2 linked regions of the Styela clava genome follow. The protein of the gene in region 2 interacts with the protein of the main gene of each other region in a biochemical or structural test. Links are inferred from orthologs where the notes say so. Each region holds a gene or a part of one and is shown on either strand. Other genes may lie near its edges.

Region 1 (7,646 bases), on a different chromosome or scaffold from region 2:
ATAATCCAGCAACACCATCGGTGAGACCCTTTACAGCAGATGATTTTTGTCCCATCATTTTTTCCAGATTAACAGAAACATTGGAAACTTCAATCCCCCTGGATTCAAAATCTTTTCCATGTGCAAGATGGTACAAATGAGAATTATTTAGAAGAGCTTTCGATGGTATACACCCAACATTCAAACATGTCCCACCTAGGGTTGGACTCTTTTCTACGCAAACAGTTTTCATTCCTAGCTGGGCAGCTTTGATAGCAGCGACATAACCGCCTGGTCCAGATCCTATCACTGTCAAATCGGCATCATGAGTGGCCGTTGCATTTGTCCTGGCATTCAAGCAATTGAAACCAAGTGAGGAACCTTTCGAAAGTCTACGAGCTAATGCAGAATTCAGTTTTAAATTGAACATTTTGGCTTAAATATAAACAATAAATTAGATTACTAAATAAGTACAGCATAAAAATCTGCAAAAAAGGACAATTCAAATGCAGAAATAATTAAATCTGTGTCATTTATAATTAGCCATTTATATCAGAAAGAAGTTTGTGAAGTTAAAACACAGGACCTATCAAATCAAAGCAGCCGCTGGCACAAATTTGCCACCACTGAATGTAAATACTAATTCAATTTTGTACAATACAGCCTTCAAAAATATCTTCAGAGCAATAGGAAAGTTTTCCAAGTTTCACATTTTACACAATGAATTGACAAATAGGGCATAAGATACAAAAAGTGGAAAAATTTTCTGCCACAACAGGCTATTTATAAATGAAAATAAAGTGACCAATATTACAAGTTTACAAAATTTGAAAAAACAATCGACAATTGAAAAGATGTTTTTATATTTTGGAAAATCCAAATCTAAGTTATGCAGTTGAAATTTTGCATTTTCAGAAAGATCAGGATTTATAATAAATTTCTCACAAAAATTTGCCGATATCATGATTTGATGAACAATGGCAAAATTCAGCACATTCAACAAGAAAATGAATTACAGAGAACTCAAACTCGTATGAGCATATTTATGTGGAAAAAATGCCGAAGTAGCTGCATTTATAAACCAGAGAAAACAAGAAGAAAACAATCAAAAAGAAGAATGTTATAATAAAAAAAGAACAACTGGGTAAACAAACAAGTATTCGACACATAAGTATGTATTTCTGCTTTCGTTTCAGTGAACAAATAAGATCTCAAAACAATGTATCTATATCTATTCAATCTATATTGAATCACGAACCACACAACATAATTAGAAATATCTCAATTTCAGAAAAGTTTTTCAGCAGGTCAATAATATGACAGAATTTAATAAATATACACAAATTTTCTAAATACTACTTTCGCTTAAGAATAGTTGTTTAAAATGAAATTTTAAAGTTTTTGGGAAGCCAAATATAAAGCATCTCAACATAATAATAAAGTGAATGAAATAATGTACATAGGAAAATGAAGACAACACCAACATATATCATAGCTTCTCATAAAGTCAGAAATTCATTCTCAAGGGGATACCACAAATTATAACCATAAAGATTCCTGATGCAAATACATTAAACATTGCCATTTGCGGTAATTAGAAAACTCACTCATTGAATGACGTTATTAGCAATTATAGTTTTCACTAAATATAAATACATGACTGTCAACATTCTACTCTTGTCAGAGTATATAACTTGTTCCACAGAGTCGGATGCAAAAATAATTCTTAACTGCTTGATGAAATTGGAGTGAGGAACATAATATTACCGGTTACACAGATCATAAAAAGTATTTTATTCTACTTCTGTTACAAAAATAATACAAACATGAACGAAATTATTAAACCAGAACAAAAAGAAATTGTTTTCCTCAAACATTGCAAACAATTATAATCATCCGATAGGGAAAATAAAGAAAGCCATGGTGAAAAGTCCCAATACCACTACCGAACAAAAAGAACTACAAAATCATGTCAAATAAAAATGAAAAAAGTTTATGTTGCCATATATTGATTTCTTCCTTCTACTACACGCACTTATATCTATTTTTTTTATTCTTTACAATATGACTATGATATGCTTTTGCGAGCAGCCAAACATATAAATGTTGTTTTCCTTGTATTTCAGGATATCATTACCATCAATTCAAATCACACACAAGAAGGTTTGAAAAAATTGTTTTTTTTTTAAATTAAAAACCATTCACATTTCTAAATTCGAAAAGGCATTTCGACAGTGTGATATACATATAAGACAAATAATAGTGATTCCGCTAGAAATATATCAACTTAGATTATTCAAATGCTTTAAAACAAAACAAATCAGTTGGAACTTCACAGCAGTGAATCCAATAAGTTTTGCAATTGCGGAACATGGAAATTCAGATGAACGACTATTATTATTCCCGTTATAACACTATTTCTAAATGAGCATATCAATATATCATCCATCAAAAATAAATTCTAGGATATGATACCAAAAGGTATACCTGATTTTGTAGAAGGCAGTCATCTACCTAAAAACATCATACTTGCACACACAGAGAAAGCAACAATGGAAGGCAGAAATAAACTTCAAAATATACAATTCAATGTATATAACATATTTTCCTGAGGCAAGCATGTTACATCATAATAGGATCCCTAATTTACATCTTAGTTTGCAATTCTGTGTTACGAACACAATCACATTACTCAATACCTCTGTGTGCAAAGAGTAACATATTGAGGACAAGCTTGCCATGTAATTGTGATGCAAATCTGCAAATAGTGATAAATAAAAAGTAAGAGATTCTGAAAAGAATCACAATAGTCTTTCCAGTGTTCCACCAGGTAAAAGTCAGTGCATTGCTAACTTGCTCTGTGAAGGTTTTCGTACTTGAGGCAGTTCGTCAGGAGTTGGCATGTGATCCCCTGTTACTTCTTTAGGTTCGACTTGTGCTGGTATCTTCTTGCCTCCCATTTTTGCTTTTGCCATGTTGTAGTCACCAGAATCAAAAAATTTCTTTTGACTACCGAGGCGTTGTTGCAGAAATCCTCCTTTTTTAGGTGGAAGATCTTTGTATTTCGTCATCAACATTGCCTCTTGCTGTTTTTCAACTGAAACAGGGGGTGTCGCTGGTTTCTTAAAATCACCAGTTTCTTGCTGTCCTTCTGACATATTGGAATTCTAGATAATATATGGTTTACCGCACAGGATTATCAGTAGTTATGCTAATTAACTAAAATACCCAATGATAAAATTAATGCAGTAATGCCATTCAAATGCTCAGCGGACTCATTTGAGACCGCGGACTCGGGTTGGGAAACACTGTCCTAGTATAACGCAGCAGTCCTAAACTGCTGTTATTATTGTTAGGGGACCTCTGTCACGCTAGCGAAATCCTGCTGCTCAAAAATACGATGTCTTAAAAAGTGTTTCATTATAAAATTTATGAATAAAAAATATTTTTAATTGCAATAAGCAAATGAGGTCTAAAATTTTGTTAGGGTTAGGGTTTCCGTGGCTATTGATTAGAAATAGGCCTACTTCGCAAAGTGGGAACACACTTTTATGACATCGTATATTTTTATGTAGGATTTCGCTAACGTGAGAGTGGCGTTAGGGGGGGGGGTCTCATGTAGTTTCATACCTAACATACTTCTAGTGGGCGTAGCATGACAAATTTTTCACGTATCAATCCTAACCGCCACCTGACTACACCATCCAAAAATTACATCATTACGACGTCACAGTGACGTAATAGAGCCCTTCAAACTATATGAACTGCCATCCGAGGAAGATCGATAGCGTCAGTCAGTTCTTTAGCGCCGGCGCCAATGGCGTTTCGGGCGATCGTACGTATATTTGGCAAGCTCTATGACGTGATTGTGATGTCGTAGTGACGTAATTTTTGGATGGCGTAGTCAGATGGGGGATAGGATTGACATATCAAAAAATTGTTATGCTACGCCCACTAGAAGTACCGGTACGTTAGGTACGAAACTGCACGAAACCCTTGTGGGTCTGGTATAGTTTAGTACCACATGTACTTCTAGTTGACCTGGCTCAACAATTTTTGCATATGTCAATCCCAACCCCTACCTGACTACGTCACCGAAAATTACGTCATTTCGATGTCACAGTGGCGTAATAAGACCCACCGAAGTATGCGGGTGGTCGTCCAAAACGCGCACACGATCACCCAAAATCGAGCAAACAATTTCTCGTCACAACGATCAGGATAGGAGAGACATCGCCGGCTTTAGCAAGTTCGTTATCGGCGGCGCAGATGACATTTCGGGCGACCCTAATTATACTTTGGCAATCCCAATGACGTGATGGTGACGTCGTAGTGAGGTAATTTTTGGATGGCATAGTCAGGTGGGGGTTCGGAATAGCATATGCAAAATTCGGGTCTAGTATAGTTTAGTACCACAAGTACTTCCGTTTGGCGTAGCATAACGAATTTTGGATATGTTATTTCTAACCCTCACCTGACTATACCGGTATCATCCAAAAATTACGTCACTACGTCGTCACAATCCCGTCATAGAGCTTGTCAAGTATAGCTACTATCGCCCGAAATGGCATCTGCACCGACAATACCGAACTCACTAACGCCAGCGGTCTCTCTCATATCGGGATCGTTGCGACGAGAAAACGAGAGAAATAGCTTGCTAGATTAGGTATTCCGTTTATTACGCCACTGTGGCGTCGTAGTGACGTACTGTTTTGGTGACATAGTCAGGTGAGGGTTAGGAATGACATATGCAAAAATTGTTGAGCCAGGCTAACTAGAAGTGGATGTGCTACTAAACTATACCAGACCCCAAAATTCGTTATGCTACGCCCACCGGAAGTACTTGTGGTACTAAACTATACTAGACCCCAATTGCTTTCCCAAAGGCCAAATTGCCACTACCAGACTACCGTACCGACACAAGCCTATCTGCCTATGCCTCTGACAGGCACATTAGTCTGTCAGTACCGGTACCGTTATACAGTTATAGTACCACCAGAGACAACAGGGGTGATTTTCTCCGTGGACCGTGGCCTGGACCCAATTTCTCCGTGGTCTGGCTCAAAAGCCACAAAAAAGTGCAAACTCCCTCTCACCAGAGATGTACGGTACCGGTACCGATTAGAGATGCACCGATGTATCGGCAATATCGGCCATTTTTCGGTATCGTTCGTATCGTTTTCAATAGTATCTTCCTTTTATATACCTAATTAACGATTAGAAGATCGATCAATTTGGCAATGGCAACCATTACAAAAATATCAATATGGTGTGGCAGATAATTTTCTTTTCTAGTATTTATTTATTTATTTTTTTGTTTACTGTATAGTATACCCTAAATTTATCGCGTTTCATTCTTACTTAAATAACTTCTCAGTGGTTGTGTGTGTGTGTGGCTGGTGGGTGCATGTGAGCGTGTGTGAAATAACTTGATAATTTTAGGTGAGTAAACACGTACCACTTCCTCTTGGCAAAACCTTTCATCTTATATTTTGTACGTTATAAACCTTATCTAAGGTTTTGTTTGCTCCCCTGATTTCATAATCAGATTTTATTTATTTGTTTTTATCTGTCAAATGTATTGTTATGCTGATTATGGAGTCGAAATAAACTTATACTTATATACTTATATCGGCCATGTATCGGTATCGATTAGATTAAGGCCGATATTTCCGATATATTTACCTTTTTGATATGGTTCAGAATGTTTTAAAAGTTAAGCTGGAATACTACTTTTTAATTAATTTTTTGTCTGGAGAGATCGTGAGCTATGAGCCATACATGTCCCCACCCCCGCGAGAGAATAGGATTCGCGTGTTTTTAGCCGGTCTTACTACTTACTGAATACAGCGCGAAACACCGCAAAGAGCGCAAAATAGCGCGAGTAAGACCCTCTAAATCAGTGATTCTCAAACTAGGGTTTGAGAGCCGCATGCGGCTCTCAACAACCTTTCCTGCGGCTCCCGTAAATGTTTTAAAAATTAATTATTTTCAAAGGAAATTTTTCATTGAAAACTAATCATTGACTCGAAATTAAAATGCTGAAGTCTATTAGTTAGTCGAATGGATTTCCCCGTGTTTATTTGCGTAGTGTTGACTAACCTATAAGATGCAATAGTGACGCAACAGTGAGCGTTTTCGCGGCCAATCGGACACTTTTCACTTGGAAAGATTTTTAGACATGGCTGTAATCATTGGCTTGCTTTCGTGGATTTTCAGTTTTTGTCGCATTTCCAGATCTTATGTATAAATCAAATAACTCGATGATTATTTTAATTTCTATAGCATTTTAATTTTGTTCCAGTAATCGAAAATAGTCTCGAAAAATGTGGCGATTATCTCAAGCAGCTACTGCACCTTACATCCTCAACGATTACGACCCGCTTTGAAAACTTATCAGAAATCAAAGCCTAAATAAATAGCGGTTCGGCTAGGGTGGGCAAAATGGAATTTTTTTCGAATCGAATAATTTGAATATTTTTTTTATACATAACAGGGATCCAGAACTTCGGAGGTCGATACTCCGTTTGGAAATTAATAGAAACATTAAAAAGTCGGCAATAAAGCGTTTTTTAATGGGTAATTTTATCATAATTGCTGATTGTCTTTGTCACCGCGATCGTTTTGGCGGCGATATCCTAAAGTTGGTATTCTATATTTCCGCCCTTTCTCGGTTTTGCAAGAATAAGCGGTCGCTGAATATCAAAATTTCATATTTCTAGTATACCCTTGCGTTCACATCAGCGACAGCTGTTGAATACATTTAAGGACTAATTTTGGAACCAAATTAATTCTATTCTGAGTTTTATCCTCTGCCTTGGATTCGATCTTCCTTATCACCGCTTGTAAATTAACCCTGCATGTTTAAAGTGAACGGTAACCGAAATGTAGATATTTATTATAATGATATTTGAGTTTCTCATGCTTTTCTATGGTGTCCGTGTTATTTTAGTATTAGATAGATAAACCTAGCAAATTTACGTTTGCGTGAATCCTGCATGTTGATTTAAAATAGCGATTAAATAAATTGGCAATAAAGGCATTTCTAGGCCTTTGTGCCTAATAGAGGGTCAGACTCTAATTATACCTAATTCCTTCAAGTTTTATCGTTTTTTTTTCAACAAAACAACACCCCGATGGTTATTATAGCTAAAATACTTACTGAGTAATGCTCAATTTTCTTTACGGAATTTGCAAATTCAGCACTTCGCTTAATGATTTCGATTATGTCATACCTTGAGGCTTAATTATTACTGCCCAAATGCTTCAAAATTTAACAATTGTAATCATTTTCGATGATAATAGAAGCAACAATTCGTGAACGAGTCCGTGCTTTAAAGGGAGTAGGACATGACATTTCTTATCCGGTTACAACTTAATGAGTGTTTTCCATACAAGTAACTCATACCAGCTTTTGGAAAAACTTTTGGTCATTTTTAAATCCATGCTATTTACATAAATAGAGTGTTTTAACGACCTAAAATCGCCTTTTTCACAATGAAACGCCTAAAAGTCATTTTAACATTTAATTTTGAGCAAGTTTAGGTTTGGTAATGCAAGAAGTGGCTAATGACATGCCACCAAGCATGCCGAGTGTAAATCTGGGAAATTTATTTTAAATACCTAATCTGGTTTGACGTTTCCAAATTTACGGAACGGTCGGTACG
Region 2 (7,497 bases):
TATATAATTCCCAAAAATTGGAAGCTGATTTCAGCTCTGGCTGTTATATCGATAATAATATGTCGGACTTCACAATTCCGGTTATTCCGATCATCCTTCCCATATTTACACCTATTCATTCACTCACCTATGCACTATCCCATGGTTATGCAGATATTCCAAAGCCAGCGTAGCTTCCGCGATGTACAGAACAGCCATCTCTTCATCAAAATATCCAAGAACGCTAATTAAACTTTTTACATCCCCCCCAATCACGTACTCCATGATCTGAAAAGCAACATTTCTTGACTTATTTGCTCACACAAAGATTTCCAATGTAACTTGAGTAGGATTTTCCAAAATAACGCTTACCGGTAATTCACATATTTTGGTTCAAATAAGATCACGGGTAGGCAGGCACTGATGTAGCTAGTATTTTCGAAAAGATCACATTGGCATTGCCCCATAATAATAACTAGTCAATGTAGTCAGCAATTAGGGATGTCCAAGCGAACCAAATATTCGAAATCAAATCGCAAATTATTCGAATCGTTTTTCAGCTAATTTCCGAATTGCTAAAATTAGGTACAGAAAGCGGAAACCACCTTTGCAGGACGTTTCTCATCGGACAAGCAGTGGTCCATGTAGTCAGCAATACCAACACATTTAAATCTCAGTCATTGAGCCCAAAGATACCGATAGACACCCTGATATAGCCTACTGTCATCAGCTTAAATTGAGATGTGTACATATTTTTACATGAAGCTTTCATTCCTTTCACCGAAACATGGCTCTGGGTGAGCAGTTGTTCCTAGGCATGGAGCTACTTCATTTAGAAGGATTGGACTCTTTCTGATTCCATACTACTGCCTATCCGATTTATTACACTCTAGGATTTGTACCAATGATTTTTAAACACAGCTCTATGTAAGCAGTTATTCCCAATGGCCGGCAACCAACTTGTTTATGTTAAACAAGTTCATGGACCCCATCTTGTGCCATATTTGGGAAACACGAAACAATGGAGTCTTATGAGAAATTTTCTTCGTGTTGTTGTACCAAATCGAATAAATCAGCTGTCATAAGGGCTAGAATGAAGCCGAAGGGTGGGTTTTGAACTTTAAGCTATATGCTACTTAAATATATAACGCAATTAGGAATAAAAAACTATCTAATGGGTTAAATTTGGCCACAAACACAACGTAGAACCATTTTTGGTCATTTTTTCAAAGATTTTATAGTGATACACCAATTTGACGCTGTAAAATGTCTTCGCAACAATCATACAATGTCATTTGTTCTTCTAGCGCAGCTTGGAGCTTGACAGACGAAAAATGTAAACCAGAAAATAGAAACAGCCATTGAAGCGAAGTTGAGTCGGCCGGTAATTTCGACGAATAAATACAGCTTTTCATCTGTGATGTTCCTAGGCATGGGAATTGTCAAATGGTTGATTATGACGATTGGAAATGCCAACTTACTTCAGAAGCAACTCGGAACTGGTATACTTGTCTTCAAGGACAATTTAATGTACTGTAAATGTAATTTGGCAAACATGGAAGAATATCAACGTGTTAGGCTAAGATTCTCCTTCAAAACGCGACCTTCTAAATTTTTCTACCTAAAATATTAGTGAAAATAATAGGTATGTTTCAATGATTGTGTGCAAACTTCTCATAAGGCGTCGTGTTGGATGGCCGAGAACAATAGGCACAAGATGGCGTCCATTGTCGGAGCGTTGCCTCGCTTGTATCATATATACGCTTTGGTTATTCCTAGGTATGGAGCTACTTTATTCGGAAGGATTGGAATCGGCAGATTCGGCACCGCCTATCCAATTCATTACACCTTGTATCCATATCCAAGATTTTTTCAACTGCAATGCCTACATATCAAGTCCAATGCTTTAAGTTGAGGAAAAAAAGAATGAAAGTTCTGCAAAATTATTTACCAGATAAATGTCATCATGAGTCTCTAATGAATAGTACAAGTGTACAATAAACGGACTCTTGCTCAAAGCGAGGGCGTTGCGCTCACAAACGACGTTCTTCGTCATGTTTTTACGGACCATGTTGCTCTTCTTCATAACCTGTGTTGAAACAAGAGAGAAATGCTCAAATACATGTTAATAGTCAAACGAGATAGCGATCAGAGACCGCCGACTTATCGATCTAGTGGCGTGTATCCTTCGCTCTGACTCAACAGCGACACTGCGTGCCCCATCACTAATTAATTAATGACTCGCTAATTATATGACATAATTCATCCAGAATCATTAGGCTTCTGATCCGAGATATGATGAATGCACATGCAAAATTTGAAGCAGATTCATCTTCGCTTTCGTGAGATATCGCGTAACATACGAAAGTGTCTAACAGACAAACAAACAGACAAATACCTATCAACATACGGTAATCAAAATCGATAAGTAATGACTAATATGGAGACTGCAATGCGAGAAAAATTCCAATTATAAGTGAAATGAAATTATACAGAGTGGGGTATGAAAATATGCTGTGAATTATCAACAACAGCAAAATTTGGAGCAAAAACTTTAAAAAAAAAAATTAATTGCTTTTTAGTGACTTTATTAAGGATGAAAACTTTGTAATATGGAAAAGCCTTTATTTTTAATGCTAAAAATTGGCCACAGCTTACTCGTTAAGTTGACTCATTAGCTGAAAACTTTCTGCATAATGAAGGGGACTAAAGAAAGATAGTCGTTGAAATTATATTATTGAGACTACAAGAAATATAACGAGAATATCGGTCAGAGACCGAAGACTTATCGATTGAAAGTTAGGGGATCCCCCAAAACAGATTAATAACTCGCTAATTATACGACATAATTCATCCAAAATCAATAGGCTCCTGGTCCGACATTATGATTGCACATGCAAAATCTGGAGCAGATTCAATCTCGCTTTCGTGAGATGTCGCATGCATCTAACAGACAGACATACAGACAGACAAACAGACTTACCGATTAAAATCGATAAGTAACAATCTAAGCAAAGATTCACCTTTATAGCATATAGCTTGCTGTTGGTTTTTCTTTTTCCAAGCAGTACGCAACCAAATGCTCCTCGACTTATTGGTTTTAAAATAACAAAGTCGTTGACATCGGGCGGTTTAGGGGCAGCCGACATATCCATGGACTCTCCACATATGGATGCGCCAGTGTTCTCTTTTATGTCAACCATGATAATCGAAATGGAATCTCGACAAAAACCACTGGAGCATGACAGGCTAAACTGTTAATGTCTGGAAATAATTTGATAAAATTGAAAGTCAAATATGGGAAAATAGCTCTCAAAGAGTCATTGGTGCAACTATATTACAACTATATTTCTAGGATTCACAAATCACAATGAATTCATCGCAAACAAAATGCATCGTCAGTAGTTTCTTCCAAAATCAGGCACTCCTTTAGGCATCTGTAGTTGGTGTAGTTTGTTAGTTTATTAATACAGTAAAATGAAGTTGCGCAAAAAAATACAAAGAAGCGCAATCTAAAAACGTCATCATTGAATTCCTTTCGAAAAAAAATCCAATTTACAGAAGAAAAAAATTTTCTACTGTGGCATTCGAGAGTTTTTAGCAAAAAACAGGATTCTGATCATGTGACGGCCACGATTTATTTAGAATACTTAATTATTGAGACAAGCGTGTTGCAATATGACGCATCTGCCGTCATGCCAGACGCCCCTCGTTTGTGTGACACATGGGGTGTTTGTTTTATTGATCCAAATTTTGGAATTTGGATAGTGTGCCCTACCATACTGTAATAAGGTATATTTAATTTTTCAATGCTAAAATATGAAAAAGCTGTGCAAAAAATAACAAAATCACACCCTTGTAAAAACCTATTTTCTAAATGCTTCCGATTACTTTAAAAATATAAACTAGACATACACATTTTGTGAGAATCTTTTTGGCTCAAAAATAAGGCTTATACTTATGAACTTATTACAGCTTTAGACATTCAAGCAATAGCAGAATACAGGAATAGCATGGGATTTACATATAGGGTGGCCTACCCACTTTGCGGCCACGACCTATTTGCGACCATCAACTTCATCGATTAATTTAATAAGGAAAAAATTAAAGAACCGCGACGATATTTCTCACACGTTATCGTTCACTTATCCCCCGTAGTTCTGCGAAATTACACTAAAAAAAACGAACCATTTTTCATGTCGCCAACTACCCATTGTTCCTTTAAAAAAGCTTGAAAATCCTTACAAATATAAGAGATAAAGAAATGAAACTTGGCAGGTGGGTAGAGTTGTGTTTCTTTTAACCATCTTTAAAGTTTCGCGTTTCTACATTTAAAGGAGGGGGAATAAAGGGATGCACATTTCCAAGACGTCGATAATATCTTCGTCGACCAATTTGCGACCACCGTGTTTTTGTCTGTTTGATTGCTGTGATGTGGTGCTTTGTTTATAATTTGACAAGTTTTGTTCGAAATAACCGTGTTCTTAAAATATATCACGGTCAGAAATGCAATTAGAAGCTTTTTTTTTCACGCATGGCTGCGTATGCCCTAGTCTCCACGCAGCAGAAACGATGTTCAAGGCCTGAAATGCGTGGTCGCACACTGGTCGTTCGGTCGCAAATACGTCTTCAGAGTGTCGTACTTTGTCGGTTTGTATAGCTTTAACTCGAGGTTTAACGTGTAGAATAAATGCCAATGCACCTACGGTGAAAAAATTAACGGGTTAGAAATATTGGTTTTTGTTTTATAGCGGTTTGGAAGAAATCGTCCGCAGACTGGCTACACCACCCTACTGCTGTACTGCAGTACCGGTATTCATCCCAGCGAAAAGGCAACTTAATTATACAGTTATATGGCGAGCCAGGGCCTCTCGTCCAGTTACCGTACCAGTTCATGTCGGGTACCGTACCTACAGACCTATGGAATGTGGGGTATGAGCCAGTTACGTACAGTATGGTACCGGAATTTTTTTCGTAAGCATAGAATGGAAACATGGTTTTGTGGCAATGTAAGATAATTTATTTTAAGCTGGGTTATCTGGTATTGATACAAAAAAGATGAAAAAGAGCATACGGGTACGGTATACACCAGCACCGCAGCACACATGAATCATGATGAATGACTGACCGACTACAGGACTACGGTACCGTAACTGAAGTCGAGACGGCAGATGGCGCGCGGTGTGGCTCAACGGGCTAAGCGTTAGGAATACGCTCGCCACCGCACCTCTAATTACTCTGCGTGGGTTCGCAGGTTCGAATCCCATGCAGGGATGGTTATGTGCGAGAGGATTGCTGGACTCCTCGCCGTCGTTGGGTGGTTCACGTAACCGCTGGTCGGTTACGGCTTCCTCCACCACCAAGTCCATGCTTCCGAAAACAAACAATACAGTAAAAACTAATCCCATACCCGACTTGGAATGGTAACCGGACGAGAGGCCGTGGTTCGCCATATGGATAAGCCGTCTTATCGGCTTTCCTCTCCCCCGGGATAAATATGTAAATCCTATCCTAAATCCTATTCAAGACTTCATAACTTCTGTATCTAACTTAGTCTATATCCCTGAAATATAAAGCCTAGTTGGGTTTACTCACCCTTAAAACAAATCCTGAACACTTCATGCTATAACTGCATGCCATTCCCAACTCATAAACAATTCAAAATAAACACTTAATCTGAGAAGCAAATCTGCGAATCCGACCTTGATTAAAAAATTCAAAAGTGCCGCCTCAACATCACAACAAAGCGAAAAAGGATAGTTGCCAGATAGTTATATGTCGCGCACGATTAATTACGCTGCGCTTGAAACATTGTACTGGTATAATTGAACAAAAATATATGCCTGTATATTATATATATAATATATCATATTTAATATTGAAAAAAATGTCAATAAATTAAACAGACATACAATAATTTCCTAATTGACGAATGGCGAAAAACTATCGAGTCCTCGTCCATCCGTTGATATTGTACCTGTTCAATATAATCACTAGTACCATAACAATCTCTATTAATTAAGTTGGATATTTCGCAAAATTTATATAGTCACCAATAATAACAGCAGTTTCGAAAATCTAAAATTCCTAATTTTCCTTATCACGTATTAGAACTAGGGATGGGCCGGGATTCGAATCCGGACTCGGATAATATAACGTAAGTTAAAAACTATTGATCGCTTATAAGAATGATGTTGCGCCAGTCGCCTTCAAACTATCTATCGTTTCCGGTATACACAATAAAATATGTGTTAGCGCAATATTTTTGAGTTTTTGATTCGCGTAAAAATGAAACATGCCCTGGATCAACCCAATGGGGAATCTCATCAATACTTCTTTTAATTTTAAATCGAGTTTATTACGGGCAATCCTTTCGCTAAAAAGGCAGTGGGAAGCATGGAGAGTTTTAGAACGTTTACATGAACTACTAAATTGCAAGCAGATGTACCACAATGTATTGACGACGAGTGTCATTTCTCTACTATATGCGCACGTGACATACTAAATTCCCGGCTAGAAATATCTGGAATTATGGGAAAACATTGTAGTCAAAAGCTTTTTATTTTTCTTATTAACATGTAAGAATATCTGAATAGCCGATCAGAATTGACGCAAGGTGGTGGGCTAGAAATCCAGTTCACAGCCAAGGCGCACATTAACCCACGTTTACGTTTGTATTATGGCCGCCAAAAAGAGGGAAATATATTTTTAAAATGATTCAACAGCTATCTGCGAAACCATTAAGCAAAAAATATGAGCTACGACGTATATTTGTGAGCGCACAATGCTGTAGCATGGTCAAAAACGTGTTTTCTGCTTTTCTGTTATGACATCACGGACTCGGCAGATTCGATTCGAGTCCTTGACCTATTACTCGGATTCGTCGAATCTCTGTAATGCCGGACTCGTCCCATCCCTAATTAGATTATTAAAACCTTGTATGCCAATGATCGATAACCAGTTTGGTTCCCCACGACTTTCCGTTCTCAGAAAAAATGTGAAATTTTTACGCAATTGGTGTATGATTGATTTTTTTTATTTACTGGTTGAAAAAATAAACTTGGCCCAACATGACTCGTCTCAGCGCCACCACCGTGTTTAGGGACTTGAGAAGCGGATGACGAACAAAGGTCCAATAATAGGATATACATTTATTTTTTCCAATACGTCGTGTTGAATAAAGTTAAAGATAGTGCGATGAATTAGGAAAGAGATGAATAAATAAGTCATAGCAATAAACAGTTAACAAGGAGAAAATAATATCTTACTTTACGTGTAAGCAAGCATGTGTCCCTCTATAGTCTATAACATTCATATTATCCACAAATATTTTGTCTGTACGTTTTAAACTTACTCAAAGTTTTTATTTGGCTCGTACATCCTTTAATTATAATTTTGTTGTTTCGTATTTGCAATTCTTTGGATACTCAATTACTAGTTGAACTCATGGTATTCAGATTCATCATGACATATCATGGCAACTGCCCCTGATAACCCTCAAAGTTCGTATTGTTGCCT

Evidence for each region.
Region 1: of the proteins of serine/threonine-protein kinase greatwall-like (region 2) and cAMP-regulated phosphoprotein 19-A-like, one has a biochemical effect on the other in vitro, tested with the Drosophila melanogaster proteins (2 studies listed by BioGRID). The link is inferred for Styela clava from reciprocal best matches to the Drosophila melanogaster genes gwl and endos.

Annotation. Positions count from the first base shown.
Region 1 is NC_135252.1:10,594,046-10,601,691, reverse strand, and holds cAMP-regulated phosphoprotein 19-A-like, read right to left. Parts: upstream 3,277-7,646; 5' UTR 3,138-3,276; coding exon 2,817-3,137; 3' UTR 464-2,816; downstream 1-463. Other genes in the region: dihydrolipoyl dehydrogenase, mitochondrial-like, read right to left, coding at 1-409.
Region 2 is NC_135257.1:23,351,206-23,358,702, reverse strand, and holds the start of serine/threonine-protein kinase greatwall-like, read right to left. Parts: upstream 3,245-7,497; 5' UTR 3,183-3,244; coding exon 3,003-3,182; intron 2,069-3,002; coding exon 1,931-2,068; intron 268-1,930; coding exon 128-267; intron 1-127.